Oryzias latipes: one gene and its partners. The protein of the gene in region 3 purifies or fractionates together with the protein of the main gene of each other region. This does not show direct contact. Links are inferred from orthologs where the notes say so. Each region holds a gene or a part of one and is shown on either strand. Other genes may lie near its edges. The genes, in order: death domain-containing protein CRADD-like, ripk1 and p53-induced death domain-containing protein 1.

Region 1 (4,536 bases), on a different chromosome or scaffold from region 3:
TTACAACGGACCGCTGGATTTCTTCTTCTATGGTGTGACGGTGTGGCAGCGTCAGCTGGCGGTGCTTTCCACCCTGTTAGTTATTTTATGTGTTCTTTATTACAAGAAGCCATCACTAAACCGCTCCACGCGGGGCCACATCAGCACATGACACCCTCCAACTCTCCCTTTTCACTTCCTGTGATGCTCCCTTTTGAATGATAAGCCCCTCCTATTGGGCGTTGCCCTTCATTACCTCCCAGGTAACATAGCAGGAGTCAGTCTTAGACATTAAAACATAAAATAAATAACAGGGTGGAAAGCACCGCCAGCTGACGCTGCCACACCGTCACATTTGGTAGTATGGTCATTTACAGACCAATCACTGTCTGACACGTCATGTGACGTCAGCACTAGTCCCATGACCCCGAACGGGGGGGTATTCCAGGAAGCATGTTTAAACTAGCCTGACTTTAAGCCTGAACTCTGGCTGAAATCCGCCTGAACTTGCTTACTCTGGGTATGTCGGTTACAAAAGACCGGATATGAGTTGGCGTAATCACGCTCCACTTGGTAACCCTGGGTTAACGCACGTGCACAGCAGGGGCCTGTTTCAGAAAGGAGGTTTAGTGTAAACTCTGAGTATGTTAACCCTGAAATCAGGGAAACCCTGGGTTTTCCGTTTCAGAATGGGAGGTTTGTTAAACCAGAGTAATCAGAGTAAGTCAAACCCGTTTCTGAAAGAGAGGTAACTTATACTCGGAGTCAGTGTCCATGGTTACTTATGCTGTGAACCTAACCTGGTCGGGAGCAGGTTTTATTCTCTAAACTCAAGGTTTCTGCCGGTCCCCTCCCCTTTTTAAAGACGAAGCGGTATTTTTCACTTTAACCTTCATTGCCCACATTTCCGTCACACAGAGACGGTCTAAGTGACAAGAATGGCTTGTCCTTTTCTGGAGGACCCAATAGACGAGGAGGCTGCATTAATTCCTAGAGAATTACATTAACGTCGTGCGAGGATTTTGAGAAGACTCGATGTTTTGTCATTTCCCCAGACGTTTTTGTTTGAGCGTTACCGTTTTTCGTTGCAGTCAATTACATATATACAATGAAAACAACATTAGATATTGCTATGTAGATGTTTCATATGTCAAATATTGTCAACATGCCTACATCCATGACATGCTCAACTTTGACCTGATTGAATTATGTTTTTATACTTCATTTTTAACTGCTGCCATGTTCTTTTAATTCCTGCAGGATTGAATCTACATGAAAATGAAATCAGGGACATTGAATTACATTAATGTACCAATTACTTTATGGAAACACAATTTGCTAGCACTGCTTACTTTCTTAATCCCATATAAACCACTTGATCAATACAAGGGTAGACAAAAGGTCACTTTTAAAAACACAATTGCATGTATTAATATTAAACTGACCAACGTTTGCAAGAGGGGAAGGTTAACAAAAAAGTCCTCTAAACATTACTGACGTTAAATGCATTTTTCCCCCAGATTGGTTCTGTACACTATGCAGCATTTCATGCAATTACACCAGGAATAACACTTCAAAAGTAAACCTAAATATCACCATTTTTTATTTCACACCTTACGCTATTTAAAAAGTTATTACAGCCAATATTTTATAACAATGATTTAAATGCAAACTTAGGCATAAACTTGAGCAGCTATGTTTTCCACGCTAACTGTCTCTGTTTTGCAGATGCAGCGGTGTTGCTTTTCTTCTGGAACATGTGCTCATATTCACTGTAACTCTGCAGCAGCACGTCAAGTTCAGCTGGAGAAAAATACGCAGACCTCTTTTTTTCACGGTTGCCATGGTGACTCGTAATATCTGCGCTCCATTGATAATGGCTTCTTATAGTCGCGGTGCGCACGCTTAACTCTGAATTAGTCCACTCAGAATTGATTGATCTAACTCCGATCAGCTTCTCTGAAACAGAAAACTCAGAGTTGTTAATCTCTCGATTGACCAACTCAGAGTTCAGGTTTAACCTCAGAGTTGGTTGAACCTCCTTTCTGAAACAGGCCCCAGGTACATGAAGACATTTTCAATAGATCACATATTTCTGGAGTCACCATGGAAACGCGTGGAGAACCAAAGAGAGCGCTATACTTCAGTGAGACGGAGTCGGAGATTTAAATGACGGCGTATGAAGATTATACGACCATCAAAAAAGTAACACGGCTGCATCATCAGCAAAGAAAGAGTTTCTGCTTGGAGTAGAACAGACAAAGTAAACGCACGAGTTTCTGATCTCATTTCCATTTTCCTTTTGACGCATAAATACATATATATATATATACATATATATATATATATATATATATATATATACATATATATATATATATATATATATATATATATATATATATATATATATATATGTATATAAATTATAAAATTATCCAACTTAAATTAATTATTTCAATTGGTAACAACTCAATATTTTTTTACAACTCAAATTTCCATATTTATCTAACTGAATGTCATTTTACTCCAATTCAATTAAATGTTTTTCCATCTTCATTTATTGGACTTTCATATGTCTAAGTTTGAGCCGCAGAGATTCTCATTTTTATGACATGAAATGATTGAAACCGAACAGATTTGCATCATGAAACCTGCTGACTGTCACCATTTCTCTGACGTCATCATCACACCACTGAACAGTAGTGGTGCTCTAAACTCATCCTCCTCTTCCTCCCTGGTTATGGTACCACACCGCTCCCAAGTGTACTCCACTCGCACCTGCGGCTCTTGGTTCCGGTTCGGTCCTCAGCTCGTGCACCAGCCGGTCCCGGATCCAGCTGAAGTCCGCCAAAGACTGCATGAAGGCGGGGAAAGCTCGCGGCCCGCGGTTCGGGAGGATGTCCAGCAGCTTCTGGCTCTTTCTCGTGTCGGTCGGTTCCGATTCGATGTCCTCTACGTGCGCATGGGTCAGCACGCCCTCCTGAAACAGAACCGGAACTATGGATTCGCTGACCATCAACTGGCTGCAGAGTTCCGCGCGGAGCTTCCGGAGCACAGCTTTGTGCGCGGGATCCATCCGAACCCGAACCACACCCGTGCTGGGTCCGTCGCTGCGGCCAGCTCCAACTAACCGGTCCAGTTAGTCATTGTCCGTCCATGTTATTGTGCCCGACTGGAAACAACAAAACCGGTGTGGGTACCGGATGTTCTCGGGTTGCCGGATGTTCTCGGGGTCCTTCGGGGTCCTTCGACCAATGATGACGTCACACTATTTGATTGGCTGTAAGTTGCCACGACCAATGAGTTAACGTCGCTAAGTTTTTTAAAAACTTTATTGACAATTGCGGTATCATACATTAACAATGACATTAACGTTAACAACGAACAATAACGATGTAATCAATATTGCCTCGAAGATCAGTCACCATTGCCAAACATAACATATTAACATAGAAAATAAAGAATAGAGGGGAAAAAAGAAACAATGAACATAACACACAAATAAATAAAAACATAAGTAAAATAAAATAAAGGAACATAGAAAAAATCTAAGTAGTCTAATACTAGTTAAGTTAGGGGTACTCGTGAAGTTTGTATTTCTGAACAAAACTAAGCAATTTCAAGCCATTCTTCTTTTTCATATAATGAAGTGATTGAAAGCAAAAACAGAGCTCTTTATTAAATGTTATAAAAGTGGTTTGGGCTTCAAAACTTGACCTCACCAAGATGGCGGTGCTCTCCTCCCATGAGGAACCACGTGATGTCTCCTCTAGTGATATAACTCATTGGAAGGACCCTGAAGGACCCCGAGAACATCCGGCAACCCGAGAACATCCGGTACCTACACCGGAACTGAAGTTGTAGAACAGAAATGTCCGCATTCAACAATTCCAATTTAGATTTATTTATTTATTTTTATATATTTATTTTTTATTGAACAATTGCAAAACGGTCATTTGATTAAAATGACGTCATAGTGACGTCAAAAAGGAAAAGTTGAGCTCTTTATTCAAATCTACCCAAACGATCATTTGGAGATAAGTCGAGTTTTCCTCCTTGATCAGATATAAATCTTTATGTTTTTGGATAAAAACCTGCGTAGTGCTGTAAATATAATCTGTGAATATAATGTAGCGACCTGAGGGAAAGCCCCGCCTTCTGCCCCCAAGACTCATAGGAAGTGGGGAATCTTGTTGTGAAAACCATGAGTGAGAATGCTGGGAACACAAGCCCCTTCCATGCTGTTTGTGTGTGTTCGAATAGATGGACGTTGATGCTGAAAAGGAGACTTTGATTCTCTGCCTAACTCTTCCCCCCTGAGACTGTCCGGGGCGTGGGTGGATGGGGCACAGACAGCACCAGCAGGGTCGTAACAATAATCTGTTAATATTACTTTGCTTGTTTTCACATTGACCACAAAAATAACAACTAATAACAGATGATCCTGCTTTACATCCAATATGATCCATCTTGGTTCCAGGATGAACCCTGCAGAACGAAGAGGAGAGAACCGGATCCCCTGTGAGGAGAGGACCGGATCCCCTGTGAGGAGAG
Region 2 (4,623 bases), on a different chromosome or scaffold from region 3:
GCGCTGAGTGAACCAGGTTTATTGGGTTTCAGAATCATTTAAGTAAACTAAGCCTGCACAATAAATCAAACATTTGCCATTATTGCAATATCAGAAAATGCAATTATGAAATAATCTCAAGGCAGCTTGAAGTGTTGAAGGATCAAATTCAGCCGTTTATACATCTGACCAATCGGATACTTCCCTTCACGTCATTAGCCAATCAACGTCACGTCAATAGCCCTTTTTTGCCAGAAGACAGTCATCTATATAGACTGGGGTCATTTGGAGTCTGATTTAAAGACAGACTATAATGAAAAATGGTGTGTTTGGTGTTTTTAACATGTTGTTGACACATGAAGAAAATTACGCTTCTGAGTATTTCCTTTTCCAAATCGCTGTGAATCAGGAGCATTTTTTGTTCCGCCAGTCATGTTGGGTTGCGGGTGTTTTGGGCTGTAAGCTAGCAGGAGAGCATGTAAACAGAAAGCTCTCAGTTATGGGTGACGGGAAGAGGTGTCGGGGTGGCTCCGCACCAACAGTCCTGCCCACAACTCAGATGAATTTTTAATGCATAAACTATGTCCCAGAAAATGACACAAGTTTTTTAATGATTTAGCTTCAACTTTTCAGCTGTACAGTAAATGTAAAAGCCTACGTACCGTCTCCAGCATGACTAACAGGTTGCCCCGAGGGAGAAGTTCCAGAACCAGAGAGCAGTCCCTGTCCTCCATGACCACACCCAGCAGCTTGACCACACGCTCATGGTTCAGACTTGCCATGATGCTCCCCTCCTCCAGCAGCGACCTTTTACTTTCTCTGGAAAAAGACCATTTATAAAGAGGATGCATGAAGAAAAGACAACATCCCACCCCTGTGTCTTAACGGCAGGGTCCAAAATAATCTTCATTATTATAAGTGATCAAAACCATAATTTAACTGATTCAGTCTTATTCCAGTTTTCCTGTTTTTATTTTTTTAAGTCACAGTTTGCAAGTGAAAGCGCAACATTACTGCTGTTTAGAATGATTACGCACTCAAACCTTTAACATTAAATGTCACTGTTTAAGACTCACAAGTTATGGAAACGCTATGATGCACTTCAGTGCTTTTTAACACAAACTGTCCAAGTATTCTGTCATCAGCATGAACGTAACAATGAAATAAGAAATAAATGGTCAAATAAAAACTGAAATAAGTAAAAAGCAGAAAATAAAAAGATAATCACTGCACCAGTTAGCCAATTTGTTTCTTCTCATAAACTAAGAATGATTATGATTATACAGTACATGACTGCAGAAAAGTAAAATTATCACAGAAATCCTGATTTTGTTGTTGAAGTTCTCAGTGCAGAACAGATTCTGATTTACAGAAGTTTTAATAAAAGCGACGTTCTTTTTTTTCTTTTTTGAAGGTTTTTTTTTTTTTTTAAGGAGGGGTCTGACTTTAAAGAGAGATAAAGACGTGACGCAGAGGTGGAGATGTTGAGGTTTGTTTTGATGAGCATGGATAAAACCCAGAAACAAGCTCAGTGTCGATGTCTGGTCATCTTTTGATCTATTCTCCAAGGGTCCCCAGTGGTCTTTTCATGATAAATGTACCGTTTTCTAGGACATAGTTTCTGCAGAGGAGCAGTAGTTCTTAAAAATTCACCTCTGAGTTGTGAGCAGGACTATAGGTTTGGTGCAGCCCCGGCCCCTCTTCCCGTCACCCATAACAGAGCTCTGTGCTTACATATTCTCCCGCTAGCTTACAGCCCCGTTTTGAGTCAGATTCCAGCTCAGACGAGGAAAAGGAAGACGTACATGGATCTATTTGTCTTCATCCAAAAGAGCGGAGCAGGGAGCCTGTGGCTTGCTGTTGTAGGTTCTACATCACACCTATAAGCTTTTTCCAATAGCTTTATTTACCTATGTATTTATTTTTGCTACACTTTTTTCATTCATTTTCTGTACCGCTTTGTCCCTTTCGGGGTCACGGGGCTGCCGGAGCCTATCCCGGCTTTTTGCTACACCTGATTGACAACTATCTAGATAAAAAAATAAAAGAATGCATTTTTGATGTTAATTTTCTTTATACATGTCCTCCTTCGTGATAAAAAATACAACAGGAACATGTTAAAAACGCCACAAATGCTATTTTCATGGGTGTGGGCCTTTAATGGATTGAGTAAAGATGAAGATCTTGGTTTAAACCTAGACTGGCTGTGGCGACCCATGAGGGGAGAAGCCAAAAGGATCAGAAGATAGAGATCTTATATGTATTACTTTAACTGTAAAACCCAAACAAACAAAATAAAAGTTGCTTGTTGGTAAAGGCAGCTCTTTGGAGGTACATTTCAGAATCACTGATTAAATGAAATAAAATCACTGTAGTTAAAGTGTCATTATTATTATTATATATATTAATTGTTATGTGAACATCTGCCACTGTTTACCACACATGTCATGTCCTTTCACATGCAGATGCTCCAATAAAAGAACTGAATCCCTGAGAACTGGATTCTGTTCAGGGGGAAACCCCCAGATCATGGTGACAATCAGGCCAACACTTACTCGCTACGCAGAGGACCGGTGTATAAAGTCTTCAGGACCACCTGGCCGAGGGTCGCGTGGTAGCACAGATAAACTTCCCCGAAGCCTCCGTAATCCAGCGGCTCTCTTTTAATCAGATCCGTCGGCCTCATGTGAAGTGAGGTTTGCGGCGCGGAGGCCATCCCTGCGAGAACTTTACAGACCTGGACACGCCGAGGCTCCCACACACACGACCGGCTAACACTCTTCGTAGAAAACAAACCAAAACGTTGAAATTAAGCATGAAATGACACAAATTCAACCTCCCGGAACTTTCAGGTCACGTCGAAAGCCAAAGGAGGCAAAACAAGCGAGCGCCTTCAAGTTTCGGGGCGTCCGGAAGTAAACAAGTACAACTTTTCTTGACAGCAAAAACTTGAAATAATGAAACTACACTATAACCGCCATACTTCTCATTCAATGACATCACCACAGAATAAAATTAAAAGGTGACCTTCTATTCCAGGTGTTCTTTAATTCAAACGACGGCCACTTCCGCGGACTTCCGGGATTTCCTTGAAGTGAAACTATCGACATTCCGTTAAAACTACAAGCAGCCTTACAAGTCGATTACCGAGAAAGAACCCAGGTTAGATAGTCGATTCAGATTTCACAGGCTGATCACATCAGCGTGAGACAATAAAAAATAAAATAAAAATAAAATGACATAAAAAATGCACCTTTGACTGCATTGAACTAAATTTATAAATAAATATAGAACATGATTTGTATAAGTAAATATTTTGCGATAAAGCTACATCTGGGCTCTGCCTGTTTAAGACGTAAACACTTAAATTAAGTGTGCAAGTGTGCACAGCATCCTGATTTAAATTATTTCAATCAAATATTCTATATATTTTTAGATTTGAATTTTTTACTTTGTATCAAAAGGTCAGTAGCAACTCAGCTGCACAAATACAGAATATTAACAAATAAAAAAAATACTTACGGTATTTTTTTGAAACAATCACAGAAAGCCAGTTTTTTTTTATTTTTTATAAAAGAACACAAGTCTTACACAACAATTTAAAATAAAAGCTTAACACATCCACAAACTAATTTGAAAAAAAAAATGCAACCACAAGGGGGCGCAATTCAGTGATTAAACGCCAAAGTAAAATGCAGTGTAAGGAGGGGCATCTGTTGTATGAACAAAACCCAACCAAACATGTAAACAGAACTTTTGTTGGTTTGGTTGTGACCTGAGTTAACAACCACCACCACCGATGCTGTTGACCTACATGTGGAAACTGGACACATTTCGGTCATGTTTGTGGGCAGAGAAAGAAAAGGGAAGGCGGGAATGAAGGACTGAGTGGGAACTTTGGATGCAGAGACTTTGACATAGAAAACTAGAGAGTTGGCGGACATGATCGAAAGAAGAACAGTGGATATTCTGTGTGTTCAAGAGACCAGAGGGAAAGGAAGCAAAATTATACACGTGGAACAGGTCCAAGCTGTTTTATTATGATGTAGATGGACGGAGGAAGGAGGAGGTGAAGAGAGTCAAGTGGAGTCTGAAGGTTGAAAGTGTAAAATTGACTGTTTTGTGGTTAGACTTTACAGGTAGGATGTACGCTGGAGGAGAAGAAAAAAGTCATGAGGAAGATGCATGAAGTGGTCCAAGGTATTCTTAGAGGGAAAAGGAGGTGGATCTGTACAGCCTTGCGTGGCAAAAACAAAAACAGAGATGGATAGGTGTGCAGCAGGTTAAGCTGTTCAAGAACAGAGATGGAAATGAGTCAAAAAGGTTCCACAAGTGTGATTGAAAAATAGAAGAAGAATGTTGAAGATGATGGCTACCCATCATCTTGTGATCTAGGATCTGATCTACCCATCTGATCTAGGATCAGGAATTAATCCATCAGAGGAGTAAGATCATTTTTTGGAGATGCATGCAGGGAAGCAAAATGAGATGGTTTGGACGCATTGAGAGGAGGGACAGTGATTATGTTGGTGAAAGGATGCTGAGGTTGGGGCGACCCCTACAGGAAGCAGTTGAAAGCCAAAGAAGATTTGACAATTAAATTGCAGGTTCATTGTTAAAACATTTATCGAAACTAGAGCAGGA
Region 3 (4,577 bases):
CAGTCTGTCGCAGGACTACAAATCACACACACCCATGCACACTCACATTCACAACTAGGGACCATTTAGAGTAACCCATAAACCTTTGAAGCATGTTTTTGAAAAGAGTCCCCAGAGAAAACCCACACATGCACAGGGAGACCAAGCATACTCCACACAGAAAGGACTTGACGACGACAAGGGCGCTAACCACTGATCCACCGTGCAGCCAAATACATGCTTGTCACTGGTAAAAGGCAGCAAATGTGTTTTCTTTTCAAATAATCATATGCATATTGCTCATTTCATTAATTTTAAATGAATATATCTAATTATCTTAAATTTACAGATTTAAACTATTTTTGAAAATAAAGTTATATTCCGTGATGTTGACATTGCCAAAGCAGGTTTTTTTGGGGGAGGGCACTGCCAGGCGGCCGTGGTGCACCGTAGGTAGGACGGTCGACCTCTGATCAGAAGATTGCAGGTTCAATTCCCGCCATGTGTCGAAGTGTCCTTTGGTTAGACACTAAACCCCACCTTGCCTCTGGTGGAAACCTGGGGCCAGTGTTTGGCAGTAGAGTGCATGAATGGAACTTAGAGTGTAAAGCGTTTTGGGCTTTCGACTAAGGTAGAAATGCGCTTTACAAGTATAGACCATTTACCATATTTAGTTTGGGTTGAATATTGTTGTTTACATTTAATAAATACATTTAACTAAGAATATCATATTTATACCTTCAGAAATTCAACACCGTGGGGACGAAGTTCCAGTGGACGACTTAGTAGGAGGTCGTGTTCCTCCAGCCACACCCACTTCCTGTTTGGCCTCTTTTCCGCCCAGCTCAGTCTAGTAGTTGTCAGCAGGCAACGGCAGGGGAACACCAGCTCAGCCCCCCCGGGAAGAAATACATGACACCCAGCAGGAGTAACCCAAAAACTATGGAACATAGACAAATCTTTAGTATAGACACAAATGCATTACATGATCAGATGGCTCTTAATGTTACTATCCCGCTGTACCTGTGCTGATTAAATCCAAGGTGCAACTCAGGCATTTCTGTCACTGATCGACCTGTTTAAAGGAATTAAACAAATGTTCTGCTGATAAATGTGTGAAGCAGATAATTATTTGAGAAAAATCCGTGTGATTTCTTTCAATCTGTACCCAGTGTAGGAGGGAGAGGAGGAGGTGTTGGAGGTTTTCCCAAAGGATTGTCTCGTGCATCTATTTTAAGCTGAGGCAGTTTGTTTAGACACGATGGAACCATACGGAGGTGATTGCTGTATATAACAAGTTCCCTGAGAGAACAGAGAGATCCTGCAAGAGGACAGAGGAACATTATATCTTCACGTTGGTTTAGATCATTAAAAATGTTGCTCACCCTTAAACCCTTACCCATGCTCTCTGGAAGCTGCTTTAGTTTGTTGTGGGACAAGTCCAGCTTTACAAGCTCACTCAGACCACCGGTTTCTTCAGGTAGTTTTTGCAGGAGGTTGTGCGACACGTCAAGTTCCTGCAGTGTCTTCAGTTGACTTAAACTTGGAGGAAGGGACTCCAACATGTTCCCCAGGAGGGAGAGGTAGGTTAGAGAGGACAGCTGGCATATCTCAGGAGGCAACGCCGAGATGAAGTTGTGACAAAGCAGCAGTGAGGAGAGCAGAGGCAGGCTCAGCAGGCAGGGCGGCAGACAGGACAGCTGATTGAAGGAGAGGTCCAGGTGCACCAGGTGTGTGAGAGAAGACACAGATGATGGCAAAGTGGTGAGGAGGCCAGGCAGAGGCGTCCCCTTTGAGTCATACAGACGGTGTCCTTAAAGAAAATAAGGCAGGTCAGCGGAGAACGAATACAACGTTGCAGATATGTCAAATATACTTTGAAATATTACCCCGGATAGCAAGTGAGCGCAGCTCTGTCAGGTTTGACAGCACATTCAGGGCACCGTCCAGCCCGGATCTGTCCTCAGAACCAAGCCTCAGGTACTGGATGCCCCTCAGCTCGGCTGGAATGGACCCCCATAGCAATGGCAATGCACCTGCTCCCCCGGGGTACACATCCAGGGTCAGTCTCGTGTCAGTCAACACAGCCGAGAGCTCCACGGTGGAGGGCAATGGTGGACTCAGAGACAAGCCAGAAGAATGGGAGGATGAGGAGGAACATGAAAGCACCATATCGTGATGGCTGAAGGAGCAAGAGGTGGATGAAGAGTTTGATATGGATGGATCACAAGTACCCAAAAGGCTTGAGGGAGATGCACTTTTGTCATAGTTTTCTGGATCAAAAGCTCCTGCTTGGCTTTTAAGCATCAAATCACGTGACATACTGACTCCAGCCTCCTCACAATTCTCCTGAGCCCCGTTTGAAAGTGTTCCCCGCTCCCTTTGAGCTTCGGTTGGTGTACTTAACGGGTTGGCTGCCGGTGCAGCAACCTTCTCTCCATCTTCCAACTCATTCTGTTGCGTGTTTTGAGCAGCCGCCTGGACCCCACCTTCTTCTTCATCAGAACTTTGGTCTCCTTCGCCGCCTCTCTCCATCAATACAGTTCACACATTTTGACAACAGTAATAAGCCGACTGACAAGTCCTTTTCAAGTTTACATTAGTGCGTCAGATGAAAAGATGTCAAATCTGTGGCAACAAAGATAACTGGTAACCGTTACCGACATACGTTTTCAGCCAGCCACGGAATGAATGTGCCTTTTTTTTAAAGCCAACACTAGAACTACATTTTATTTCATGCTACATTCTTTCTTTTGCTTACCAACTGTCGAAAAAGTTACATAGCTAGCGAAAAACACAGCTTCCGGATGAAACAAGTGATTTTGAAGTAGAGGTATTACGTCACAGTTATAGGTTCGTTTAGATTTCCTGCGTCTACCGGTTGGCGAGGGGCGGGTGTTTGCACACGACACAAATGGCGTGGAGAGAAAGTCCCGCCCCTCTTTTTGTTCAGTGTCTAACAAAAACAAGCGTCACGGTGAAGGCACCGCCAAAGTTTCAACGCTGGGCGGGACATCATTGTCAACTTGAAAACGTGTGCGGCATTGTCTCAACACGGACACTAGATGGCGTTGTTGGTTACAAATGTTAGCTGTGTGACAATAATGTCATCACTGTTTAAAATGTGAGGCCTTGTTTTTTTTTTAAATAAAAGTTTTATTATCTAAATTAATACAAATGTCCCTCTATATATGAAACTAAATGTATATTTTGGTCTAATCATTTAAGAACCTGGTAAATAGAGTGTGTCATGTCTATTTTCTAGATAAATAAGTGTCAGTAACCATCCTTTACCTAATCTGGATAAATTATTTCTGCCCTCCTCTAACAGTAGGTTTGATCTGGTTTAAGTTATATTCAAATATCATCTGTAATTTTTTTAATCTTTTTTTTTAAATTGTACTTTGTTATCTTTGTAAGAAAAGAACACAACACAAACCAGCACAGCACAGCAGATATCTAACTAGTTAAAGGTTCACACAAAATCTAGGTTAGAATAACATGTTGAGATATTTTCTTAAAACACTTATTACTTTGAAATACAAAATGTGAGCCTCCTTTAACAAAGTATATCAGCTATTTCTCGAGGTGATCCAGATAAGGCTGCCACGTCTTGTAGAAAAATGTCGGAGTTACCCTTTAACCGGGCACTGAGTCGTTCCATCGGACAAACTTTCCATTGAGTAACGGATGGAGGTTTCACTTGTATCCATTGTAGCAGTATACATCTCCTAGGCAGGTGTAAAGGTTTTTGGATCAACCTCATACTTCCAGGTAACACAGGCAACCTTCCTGACTGGCCTAAAAGAAACAAAGTAGGGTCCAGGGCAAAAGATTTACGAAAAAATTGAGCGGATCCCTGTAGCAACAGTTTGCCAAAATCTGGAGATCAACTGACACTGCCAAACACAGTGATAGCAAGTTCCTACAGTGTTTTTACACTTTATACAGAGAGATGAGCGTTGTGGTTGAATCCTAAAACCTGTGGAGTATATTGGGTCTTGTGTAAAATTCAGTATTGGTTTTCCCTGAGTTTGTTACATGTAAATGTTTTTTTTGTACACACAAAAGCATTTGACCAAGTTTCAACATCAAGTTCAATCCCCAAATCTGCCTCCCAACGATACCCAGATTTCTCACTTGTGAGAGGGTTCGATGCCATAGCAGAGCAGAGAGAAAGGAATTTCTTCTTGGAGGAGGCATTTTTATTCAAGTTGAGAAGAAAGAATTCTACTGGGTGTAGGATTGGTTGGTTACCTGGGAAAGAAAGAGAGGTCCGAACAAAGTTCTGGAGAAAACCTAAAAAATCTTGGTGTGATATTCTAAATATATCTTGAATTTGTCCAAAAGACAGAAAATCACCTTTTTCTAAAAAAAATTGCAGACATGTTTTTAACCCTCATCATTCCATTTGTTAAATATCCAAAATAAACTAATCTAAGGGTTTGCTACGTTTAAAATATATATATATATATTTTTGTCTTTTTTATTACCTTAGTGTGAACCAATAAGGTGATTTGTGTGGCAACACCTCACTAAAAATGAGAAACAAATGTTGTGATTTATCATATTTATTATTCTAACGTCTATTCTATATG

The links.
Region 1: the proteins of p53-induced death domain-containing protein 1 (region 3) and death domain-containing protein CRADD-like purify together in Homo sapiens (affinity purification with western blotting; 8 studies listed by BioGRID and IntAct, with this or other methods). This does not show direct contact. The link is inferred for Oryzias latipes from reciprocal best matches to the Homo sapiens genes PIDD1 and CRADD.
Region 2: the proteins of p53-induced death domain-containing protein 1 (region 3) and ripk1 purify together in Homo sapiens (affinity purification with western blotting; 3 studies listed by BioGRID and IntAct, with this or other methods). This does not show direct contact. The link is inferred for Oryzias latipes from reciprocal best matches to the Homo sapiens genes PIDD1 and RIPK1.

What each region holds. Positions count from the first base shown.
Region 1 is NC_019881.2:23,808,984-23,813,519, forward strand, and holds the start of death domain-containing protein CRADD-like, read right to left. Parts: upstream 3,235-4,536; 5' UTR 3,059-3,234; coding exon 2,761-3,058; intron 1-2,760. UniProt on the Homo sapiens protein: Adapter protein that associates with PIDD1 and the caspase CASP2 to form the PIDDosome, a complex that activates CASP2 and triggers apoptosis.
Region 2 is NC_019875.2:26,472,469-26,477,091, forward strand, and holds the start of ripk1 (receptor-interacting serine/threonine-protein kinase 1), read right to left. Parts: upstream 3,109-4,623; 5' UTR 3,007-3,108; exon of another isoform or gene 2,759-3,006; 5' UTR 2,696-2,758; coding exon 2,535-2,695; intron 799-2,534; coding exon 642-798; intron 1-641. UniProt on the Homo sapiens protein: Serine-threonine kinase which is a key regulator of TNF-mediated apoptosis, necroptosis and inflammatory pathways.
Region 3 is NC_019864.2:15,844,197-15,848,773, reverse strand, and holds the start of p53-induced death domain-containing protein 1, read right to left. Parts: upstream 3,017-4,577; 5' UTR 2,515-3,016; coding exon 1,869-2,514; intron 1,793-1,868; coding exon 1,379-1,792; intron 1,301-1,378; coding exon 1,148-1,300; intron 1,055-1,147; coding exon 1,003-1,054; intron 920-1,002; coding exon 718-919; intron 1-717. UniProt on the Homo sapiens protein: Component of the DNA damage/stress response pathway that functions downstream of p53/TP53 and can either promote cell survival or apoptosis.